Drosophila melanogaster: one gene and its partners. The protein of the gene in region 3 purifies or fractionates together with the protein of the main gene of each other region. This does not show direct contact. Each region holds a gene or a part of one and is shown on either strand. Other genes may lie near its edges.

Region 1 (3,835 bases), on a different chromosome or scaffold from region 3:
TCGTGTCGTTTGGCTGCTTTACGAAATAAGGACCCCGTGGAATCCGTTCCATGTCGTTTATATCGAGTCCATAATGGTAGGGACGCTTGTCGTCTAACTTTATGTTGACATTGTCTGAGCTGTATAGTACTTTTGACTCGCATATAAAGAGATTTAGTTCAATTTCATAGGCTGGCATGAACATCCACCGATCCCTTTTCTTTGAGAAGGCGTACACAACGCGATCGCGCACATATCGGTTGTCTCCATACGGCTGGTTGGGACCTGTAAGGAAACGATGTTTAGCAAATCGACAATTTTAAATAGTGAAACTTGCCTATAAAGCCGCGAAGGTTATTTTGATTGCGCTGATTAACAGTCCCCGGAAGAGAGTTGTAAAACTGATTTGGATTATTGATATTTTGGTTGTTGAGGTCGTTTTGCACAAGGAATCTATTGTCGTGCAGATCTTCGTTTTCCAAGGGCACTTGCTCGTCCATGGAAAAGGAGTCTTCGATCTGGACTAACTGGGTGTTGTCATCGTTGACCCAATTCAACGGGCCCGTTTGCCGGGCGGAGATGAAGAATCGGTTCTGCCGTTGATTCTGCAGGATGAGATTCTTGAGTATAAACGAGTGCTTCTCTACATTATCCACGTTTATCAGGTCGGCATTGTGTGCCTTGCAGATCTTTTTAGCCTCTGCCCAGTTGCGCTTGGGCGAGCGGATGAAGCGATAGCACGTCTGTCTGAACGAGACCCAGTGCTCCGGGCAAAAGTTATCTTCATCCGTATAGGCGTCCCGGTAGCTGACACCTGCTGAACCTATGCTGTTCCGATTAAAGGGGTCGTACTGTGGGCCGAGTCCGCCGAGGTTGTTTCCAGGCCCGACTACATTGCCGCCAAGGCCCCCACCTCCTGCCCTGCCATCATAGTACCCCTTGTAGGTATTAGGGCTCTGTCCGTCGACCAGCGTATTGTCGAACTGGTTGGGGTCAGCGCTTTGCTGTCCAGTATACAGGGGGTTGTATCGCGGAGAGTAATCCTTGTTGTAGCTAGGCTGATAGTTCTGAGGCTGCTGTCCCGACTGCGGATCCGGATCCGGCAGGTTTTCGGAAAATTGGGGCGTGATCTGGCCAACTAAGTTGAGCACAAGAATACTCGCCAGAAGGCCGATTTTTGCTAGCATAGTTGGTCCTTAGCTTTAATAGCGTGGGTTCTGGTTTAGATGTCTCGCAGCAGACTAAAGGCACATTTTGCTCTGGAATTCGATAGTTTCTGAAAGCAGAACGAAAGAATGTTCTTGTTTATTTTGCCCCTCTTATGGCATAAACAAATTGAATGTAAACAGATTTGTCGATCGCAGGTCATTCAAATTTGTGATACGATGTGTCAGCACGCGTATATACAAATGTACATATGTGTATGTGTGTGTGTATATGTGATTAGGCGTGGTCGTAAGCCGCGATTGATCTTCGATCAACTGACTTTTTAGATTATTCAAGCACACTTTAGTTGTGTTTCCTATTGAACAAGGACAGTTTTAACTGACTAAAGAAGGGGGCTCAATCCAAGTAGCCCGTGCTGGCAAAACTAATTGGTCGCATAGGCAAACACTTAACCACACCTTAATTACGACTCCAGGACGCAGCACACGAACGGTTGAAAACGCTACCACTGCGAGGTGTTCCTGCTGACAAAAAAAAAAACCACGAGTTGTGCGGATCCGGACAAAATAAGTATCAGAGGCAATTTACAGCTTTTTAAATTATAGTTTAATTAAATAAAAACAAAACAGTCCAGAAGCTGAGTCGACCAGCAATTAGATATGCGCAAGCCACGACTGTGGGCTACGCTGCCATCGATGGTGCGATAGAGGCATCGATATGCATAGTCGATATCCCGCTGTAATCGCCATTCGAATAAATAGTGTGCGCGGGCCATTTGAAACTGAGTTCAGATAACAGTTAACAGATATATTTTTGTTTCATACATTTTCACTTTTACACAATCACTATAATATACACTGTAAATTTGATTCACTGACGTGTCGCTTGCTGTGAACGGTAAGCATATGCGGTCAGGCTAATATCAGGAGTATTTCGAACAGAAGTCAACAGGCAAAATGCCAATAAATGCAAGAAGGGAAATAAATAGTTGCTCAATCGAGCAGTATTGTCTCCGTTAAGCTCGTAAATGGCATAGGGCCTCACAGTCCCTTGTTGAACCAGACAGTTTCCAATTCCGGACGCTTCTTCCTAATGCTGTCGCGGACCTCCGACTCCAGGCTATCCACTTTGATGTCCGCTCGCTGCTTGAAGAAGGCGCAGCCAAGGGGCGTGGCGAAAATCAGCACGAAGCCGCAGAAGAGCGTTTGGATGGGAGCGTTGGATCGCGGGTATTTAGCCAGGAATCCCCTCTTTTCGAGGACATTCATCAACACCGGTGTCAGTGCTGAAATTGAGAATAGCGTAAGTATCGTAAGTTGTTACACTTTTGTGCGCAAGGATGTCCAGGAGACGTACTCATTCCCGGTATGGCCATGGCGATTCGACTTAGGATTACGGTTGAGATCCCAACAACGGCCGCCTTCTTTGAGATGCCCATTTCGTTGCTGTGTTCATCGAAAAGCGTCACTCCGTTGCGCAGCTCTCTGTAAAAGAGGAATATTATATACATAATTAATTCACTGTTTTACGAACGGCCGAAGTAGCGTAAATTCGGTAAACAGCTTTAATAAAATATGAATAAATTAATAAAATGCTGGTAAAATTATCTCTCTAAAATTGTAGCAGAGCTGCTCTAATCGAATCAGGCCTATTTCATAATTTTACTAAAAACAAAATGTATAGAGGAAAGAGCTTCTTTAATACAAATTTAACTTACTGCATTCGCATGCAGGGGATGTTGATGCAGTTGGCAGCTCCAACTGCCACTAGGGGGACAAGGCGACCCAAGAGCGGATTCATGTTCTTCACTGCGTGGTTCAGGGAAAGGGCCGTGACCAGGGCTCCGCTAGTGGCCAAACAGTACGAGGTAACTAGTTGCCTGAACAGGGGACGAAATCGGTGAAGTTAGTGTCGGGGACTGCGGCTGGAAGGAGGTACCTACTGCTGGCTGATGGGCGAGGTTCCCGAACGGTTCGTGTAGTTAACAATGGCGTTGAATGTCTGATTGAACCACTGCCAGAAGACGACGGCGGGAGTGCTTTTGTAGAAGGCCATCATGCCTGGAATGTGATTTAGCTATTATTGTAGTCGATTAATCAGCAGTGCGGAAGCACATAGTTTATTTGACGTCAATTGAGCACCGAAAAAGTCGCTAATACGCACCGCCGGTGATGATTGTGTTCATGGGCATCTGCGCAGCCATGCGCCCGATGACTATCTGCTTCTCCCCGGTCTCTGGATGGAACGCCGAATCGTACAGGTACTTAGCGCGCCACACGTCGTCGATGGTCTTGCACTCGGGAACATCCTTGCCTTGAAGTGCGAATAAGATTAGTGATCTAATTTGGTTACCTACTCTTCTTTCTTACCAGCCCGGTACTTTATCACAATCTGGCGGGCCTCCTCCAACTTCGAGGCGGAGGCCAGCACATTAAGCGGGTTGGTCAGCAGGAAGAAGTGCTTGGCTCTGCCCAAGTAGGAGTTCTGATCATATTTCGGCTCGTCGATGTTGACTCGTGGGAGAGGGCTCATGATTGCCTGCAAGGAACGTACGTAATCAGTAAAATATGTATCTGCGAAAAGAAATCGTTCTCAAAGCGGAATTAAACGTTTCGTAAACTATGTTTTCCGTCCCGCCCATGAAAGCAGCTCTTATCAGTCCGATGCTTTGAACCTAACTGAGTCCCCT
Region 2 (3,835 bases), on a different chromosome or scaffold from region 3:
ACTGTCGATTCGAGAAGGTCAGTAAGTTAAAGTTAATTGCTCAAGTTGACTTGAAGCTTAATTACTCACATAGCACATGGAGATAGACATTGGCCACCGCTGGCTCACCCACTCCATTGCTGGCCACGCATTCTATGAGGCCCGCCTGGTTCCTCGATTTGATCTCCAGGATGAGGCTTTGCCGATTCCCCGTGTTGCTCTGTGGCTGGATGACATTGCCGTTCAACCGCCAGGTGATGACCGGTTGGGGCACTCCCTGGGCCTCGCACACCACCTCGAAGATTGCACCTATCCGCTGCTCCGTGAGATCCGATGGTTCAATCAACACCTGTGGAGCCAATTGCACTTCGATGGCGTGCTGCTGGACCACATGACCCGAATCCGAGTTCATTTCGCAGTAGTAGTCCCCGGTGTCACTGGACTGCACGTTGGCCACCTGCAGGCTGCCATTCGGCCAGAGCATTATGCGATCCGGCGGCGGGAGCTCCGGGTGTCTGGAGTCCACCAGAGCCACATCGTCCCGATGCCAACGGACGTAGCGGAAGGGAGCTGGGTATGTGAGGTAATAAATTTGATGAACTTATGTGTTTTATTTTTATGTTTTCGCGAATTCCATTTTTATCTACCAAATATTTAAAAGAACGAAACAGAATTCAGCAGAATTGTATCTCGAATCTTAACAGTTATCTGGCGCTTATCTCACTGCCAAGATAAATAAGAATAAACAAAAGCATCCGCTCGAAGCCCAAATTGTTTGCATTGATCATCGATATATGAACAATAAAAAGTATACGTTGTTTTAGCTAACGAAAATTTCTATACACTAAGCAGATCTATTCAAAATGTTATTGTTTTAAAAACAGAAATATACTTTATCAATCCCGGATTATTTATACCATACTATATTACTTTAAAATGTAACTAATAACTTCTATACCAGAACTATTGTAAATAACCTACATATATTGGCATGCCAAACTGAAAGGCTTAGTTAAATATTTCTTCATGGGGTGGATTTGGACGACTCTGTTCGTAGGGCTTCCCGCACACACGCTAATTTGTAAGTTTGTGTAATCTTGTAACCCTTTGGAAGTGTAATTGCTTATGTCAATAATCCTTTAATTGGCCATTTAACAATATGTCTCGGGAGGGTCTTGCACGGCGACTTGAATGCGCCGCTAAGTGTGTTAAGCGTTCAATTAATAGAATCCGCTTCTGGACTTTCTCCGCCGTAACTCTATTATTGTCGGATAATACCTCCATTTGTGGCATTGTGAGTTCATTTCTTCAATCGAATTAAATCTCATTGTTATGGCCAATTGCTGCTGGTGGCCGACTCAAGGCCCCAAAAAGCGGGGCTAATCGCCAGAAATACCCACAATGTGCACTGAGATTAGTACCGCATTTAGTTAATCACTTACTGTTTAAGGTGCACGGAAGCTGCACTGTATCGTTCTCATAGGTTTTCACTGTGGTTGGTATGCTCTTGAACTTTTGACTGTTTTCGAGATCGTTGTTAAAATCCAGCTCGGCTTGCACTTGGCCAAGGATTAGGGCCGCAAGCAAACACCTCACCACTGAGCACATATGGGGCGTCATTTTATTTTCGCTTAGTTTATATTAGCTATATTTCTTTAAATTAAATTACACTGTGATTTGGTAATTCTATAATTCACGGTCGCGTGTCGGAATTAGAACGGTCCGCTCTGGTCCGCGACAAAGTCAACTTTGAACTGATCGCTTGAGCTGAAGCCACAGTTGGCGTCCCCTGAGCCGCACACACTGCACCACCACACACACACGCACATGTACAGTGGAGCCCCGAGGGGCGGACAATGGAAGATGCCCGAGTCCGGGGCGACGATGAAGAAGCCGCTGACGCTGGACAGCACCCAGCACTTGTGTATAAGGCATGCCGATGCCGGTTGATTAGTCGCCGCCAAGGAGATTCTCCCACATGGGTACACAGAAAGAAAAAGCGGGAGCACTACTAGAAATCACTATACGATGCTGTAAGATATGGTTCAAGTTGAATTTCTATAACACATACTTTCCCTGCTCGAACTAACTTGTTAATGGATGATAGCAAGCTCTATAGGCGGGTTGAGTAGCTGGCTATATCGGAGATTTTACGTATTGATACCATTTTTCGCTGTGCATTGATGGGAGATGTGTGTGTGTAAGTGGCTTTGGGATGCACCCACACCGATGTCGCTGCAAGAACATTTGCATGGGCCACGCATCGGTAGTTTTCGGATTCAGAATCGAGATTCCGTCGCTGATCTATTACACTCTCCGCTTCAGAGAACGTGCTGCTGTTGCATATTCCGAGATAAAATGTCATTGTGCCACAATGGTGCCCCCATCCCAGTCGTCATCATTGTGATCGGATCAGTCACATTCACCATTTGGAAACAATATGTTCGGCACGGCGAGGTTCCCAAAAAGACAGAACGAAACAACTTGGAAAATATTCGAGCGGAAGTGCATTATATAGCGATCAATTCAAGTTTATTTCAAATTAGCATCCTATTTAGCATGTATTTCGATCGATTGCAGCGGAGTTAGCTCGAATATGCCTTTCAAATATTGACCGTTAAAGTCTCTTTATATATTTGCAGATCTTGAAAAACGTTTTTCCCTCTGACGAAACGCGATTGTGTTCAATTAAAAGACAATTTCATCGAATTAATTGAATTAATTTGGTGAGAACATGAAAGGAGTCAGCCAGCTGCGCAAACAGACTGCAAACCAATTAAGAGGAGCCAACTGTCCAACAGTCCAGAATGGTGACCATAAGTTTACTTTTCATTGGTGCTTATGTGGGAATAGGCGCCAAGTATACAAGATAACAAATCCTATACAGTATCCCAACACTAGATCAATAACATTATTTAAGTCTTTTTCTTTATTATAAATAATATTTATATATGTATATTTAAGTATATGAAAGCTGTTGCTACAACTGATGAATTTTGCCTTAATCTAATACAGCATTGAACGGTTACAACCAACGGATACATACTCGCTTGAATGAGTCTTATATAACCCTTTCAATAATCCTCTTCATATTTGTCCATGGAATATCCTTCAAATTTGCCATTTGCCTGAGTAAACGATTAAGTCTTCGCTGAAAACTAATTCCGTATTAATTATGTTAGTTGTTAATTTATGGAACAAATCGTTGGAAATGATTAGGCTGGATGGGGTTTTACTCTTTTCGTTATAACATTTTTAGCTTAAAACTTTAAAAATTTCACAATATATACTTAAATAAGTTCGTTATCTGCATAGGCATTCCAAATGTTCGAAATTACTGTTGATTCTTAAGTGTTGCTTGCATAATTTTTCTAAAAATTATATCATAATAGTGAAACAAAACAAACACAAACAGAGAAAGTATCCTCGATTGGGATATTCAATTCGCCCGACCTATCTAAAACTTTCTGTGTCAACCTTATTATATATATATATGAACTGTAACTATAAGCCGAGCTGATTGCCCGTCGTTTTTTTTGTTGCTCTTTAAGTTGGTTGAGTCGTTGAAGCAAACGATCGCTGTATTCATTTCATTTGGGCACTACACTAAACTAGGACGTAAACATGCGACGCTTTGTCAGTATATGTATGACCAGCGGCATCCTTTTCTAGATAAGACCGCGCTTTTTTTTGTAATCCTCTAGATTCAGCGAACGTTTGGAGACTGTTTCAGCTGGTTTGCTAGCCGGCTTGGGCACTGAATTCGTATTGACTAAAAAAGAAAATGGTTATGCCCATTGCTCAACTGCAGAATACGTTAGTTACATACCTGGTAGCGGAACATCTAGGTCAATGT
Region 3 (3,600 bases):
TTGGCCTCCTTTTTATGGGCCCATAAAGAAAGCCACATCTATAAGGCAGCAAGAAGTAAACAAATTGACTGAGGAGTAAATATTTGCTATTTATTTTAAGAGTTCTTAGTTCTCTGTTTTCCGGGTAATTTAAGTCGTACAAGATATATTGAATTTGCTTGTAATGAATAAATATCATATAAATAGAATCTATACAATTGAATCTTTAAATTTCACATGAAGTCCAAGGAAAATTCCTATGAATTAAGACAATCAGCATTAAATTGGACATAAACTGATGTAATTAGTTGCTTTATTTAGAATATTTTACTCTTAAACATGTATTAAGAGTACTAGGTACTAGTTAGAAATATTTCTTATTAAGATGGTTCCACTGTTTTAAGAGGCAGATTCTTGTCTCATATTTGCACCATAATATTTTCCGTTGACGAGAGTCTTTTAGCCCCTAGGATCCGTGACAAAAGCATGCGGATGTGGGGGCCAGGTCGTGTCGGAAATCCAGACAGTTGCCCCTGTCTGCCGCAACCCCCAAGAAATTGTTTACAATGGGTGCAGCAGTAGCTCCTCCTAGGCAAACAGCACACTGGCATTTTCTTAGCGGAGTGGGGGAAAACAACCCTTGCGAGGTCATTCGGAGTTCGTGGGCACTTTAAGCTGACTTTGAGTCTTGGGTGGAGTGGTACAAATCAACCTGATAAGCTCGAAAGGAAACCGAGGAAACACGCATGACAATCTTCTGGTAAATAACACAGGAACATATGTACATACATATATAGCCAGTTTGAACTACTTTTTGCTACATAATTGCCCAATGGTGATTAGAAAGAAAACGAAATACATAGAATTTGGCTAATGTTCTAAATGAAACAAATATGACGAGGTCTGAAAGGCCATTTCCGTCCATCTGGGGGAAACTCGAAGTGCGAATGATGCTATTTTCGAGGCAATAAGAACCGAAATAAATTATGGAAATCGACCAAAGTCTGGGAGGATATATGTCGGCTGTCTGCTTTCGACGCTTCAAGGCAAATTAATTGCGCGGCATTGTTTATTTTTAGTCATAAAAATGTTTGCATATCATCGATAGATTGTTTATTTTTCAAGATATGTGGAAATTTGTGGGGAAAAGCGCTTAAGTCTGTTGACATATGGAAGGATAATGATAAAATCACCTGTTTCACACAGCATCATCAATCAGCAGATGCTTCTTATTTGCCGCATGCGCATTTGAAAAGCCGGAAAAGAAGGCAAGCACAACTGGGGATGCAACCGGCAAAATTTTCGAATTGCTCCCCCGGGAAGCTTCATAAAAGTCCGGAAATCAAGAATCTAAAACCCCAATGCCTTTGCTCAAAACGAACGAGTAAAAACGGGCGTTGTTAAGCGGCATTTTTGTTTTGCCACCGCTATTCGTAAGCAACCGTTTGATCGCTCTCCCGTTCTCACCAAAACTCTCGCGATCGCTAAGAGCGAGTTAAAAAGCGAACAACGGGCCAAAGGAAAATGGAAGAGCGAGTCTTCAGCTTTGGGGAACACGCCCAAAAAGTTGGCTTACAAACAATCGACGTTTTATGTCACATATTGCTGGGAAAATCGAGCCGAAAGGATCTGAATTCCTGGGTTAGTCAATGGGTATCACTGGTTTTTACCTGCTTGCACCGATTTAATGCCATTATTGACCAGCAATAGGAGGCATAACAATCCAAACTGAAGCGAGGAAAATGCTGCTTTCGTATTGCTCCTGGGCGGCCTCATCTTGGAGGCTGTTAATTAAACACTATCGCTTGGTAGATTTATAAACACATCTATATTCGATTTCCGAAGAAGTTTAACACCAAAATGCACTTTTCCGCTGGAAAAACCACCGTGAAAAGCTGATGATTTGTGGCAACGCGTCCGCGGTGTTAAAAACGTTGGACTGCACTTTACGCTCCGCTTTAAATCGATTTTGAATTTATGTAATTTATCCACTGGGTGTACGGCTCCAGCAGATCACGCCCACTTCGGAAGAGTTTCGTTTGAATTAAGAAAATAATTATCGCAACGCGGATGACACACGAACAGAATGTCTCGCTGCCAGTGTGACCGTGACTCAAACGTGGCAAGATACCGAGGGAGTCACCAACTGGGTGCTTGTCGCGTGAGCTAAGCTATCGTGTGATTAAGTATATGAAGTATTTACAAATTATTTCAACTGCTACTATGAAATTAAATTTGGTCACTAATAATAGCTTTCCGTTAACATTTATATTAATTCGTGATAGAAATTTTTTTGCATAGTTTTAAAGCCATGTAATATCATTGCAAAATGAATGATATAAGCAAAGTATACAAATGTAATGGCAAATAAGTCAAATCCCCTCTAAAATATTTTTTAAAAATCTAGTTTTCTTATCTATCCAGAAATTTGAAATAAAATACATATTTTACAAAAAATTATTTCGAATACCAAATCGATAGGGGCGTAAAACATCGATAGTCGTAGTAGTATCATTATCGATAGTTGGTCACACTGTTTATCCCTCTTTTCGCCAAAAATTTGTTGGCGTGTTGTCAATTTCCTAAGCATTTGATCGGTTTTTTCGTTTTGTGTGTAACCCGGAGAGGATAAAACAGCGACAATGTACGGTGGAGACGAATACGCAACCAACTCGGTGAGTGCAGCCAGCGAGGAATGATTCATTCTCGGGAAACCAATCCCCGGACTCCGCCGACAACATAACCCATCTTTTGTTGCCCTCGCACAAATACAAAACTCACTGGGATGATTTTAAAGCCGTTTTACGACTTGGCATAGTTGGTGTTTAGATCATCATAGGTCATTAAGCACTGATAATCCGTGGGCCACTCCTTTGACACGTTCCTTTGCTATTTGGAAACGAATCCTGTAGTCCGGGGGACACCCCGGCGCCATGTGGTATATTATTGGTATCGGTGTACATTATTAATAAGTCATAATACCTTCTACATTTTTGATTTGCGTGCAATTTTAGATGGTGTGTACACACCTTTAAAGAACACATGAATATATTCTAGCTTACTCCTTAGAGATGCCGTGGAAAGAAGTACCCCTCTAAGGTTCATCCACTTCGTAATCGTAGGAATGCGCTCGTTTTGTTAGCTACAGCTCGCTTAGCTAAATGGTCGGGATTAAACTCGGAACAGTTGTAGCATAGTCTCTCGAATTCCTATTTACAAAGTCGAAAGTCTTCAATAGTCTAGGCAAGCTGTTAATTTATAAAATCGATCCACTTTAAGCGATTAACTCTATTTAATAGCTCATTTATGCAGAGAGTCGTAGATCAGTATTTCCTGCAATTCTGCTTCCAAAAAGTCATTGGGTTTTTTACATATTACAGGATTACTACGATGACTACGCTCATACCGGAGACCCGCAACTGGACATGGAGTACGAGAGGAACTACTACGCCGCCCGGATGCCGGACAACGTCAAGTACTTCCTCATAAACTTCTGCCAGGCGATCAAAGAGGGCAACTTGTACGACATCCAAAACATGTACGAGAACACGTTCCCGCAGATCAGCGACCACCACTTCGACAAGACTGCTTGGCCCGAGGAGCAGGAGGTGGCTGCTATTG

The links.
Region 1: the proteins of Nrx-IV (region 3) and Cont purify together in Drosophila melanogaster (affinity purification with western blotting; 4 studies listed by BioGRID). This does not show direct contact.
Region 2: the proteins of Nrx-IV (region 3) and wrapper purify together in Drosophila melanogaster (affinity purification with western blotting; 2 studies listed by BioGRID). This does not show direct contact.

What each region holds. Positions count from the first base shown.
Region 1 is NT_033777.3:4,379,299-4,383,133, reverse strand, and holds the start of Cont (contactin), read right to left. Parts: upstream 1,829-3,835; 5' UTR 1,605-1,828; intron 1,256-1,604; 5' UTR 1,167-1,255; coding exon 317-1,166; intron 265-316; coding exon 1-264. Other genes in the region: Sfxn1-3 (sideroflexin 1/3), read right to left, coding at 2,187-2,431, 2,503-2,630, 2,864-3,025, 3,089-3,206, 3,310-3,459, 3,516-3,678. UniProt on the Drosophila melanogaster protein: Required for organization of septate junctions and paracellular barrier functions.
Region 2 is NT_033778.4:22,377,566-22,381,400, reverse strand, and holds the start of wrapper (wrapper), read right to left. Parts: upstream 1,765-3,835; 5' UTR 1,600-1,764; coding exon 1,422-1,599; intron 550-1,421; coding exon 70-549; intron 2-69; coding exon 1-1. Other genes in the region: Rtf1, read right to left, coding at 3,648-3,751, 3,809-3,835.
Region 3 is NT_037436.4:12,145,010-12,148,609, reverse strand, and holds the start of Nrx-IV (neurexin IV), read right to left. Parts: upstream 2,092-3,600; 5' UTR 1,756-2,091; coding exon 1,650-1,755; intron 1-1,649. Other genes in the region: eIF3l (eukaryotic translation initiation factor 3 subunit l), read left to right, coding at 2,622-2,654, 3,360-3,600. UniProt on the Drosophila melanogaster protein: Seems to play a role in the formation and function of septate junctions.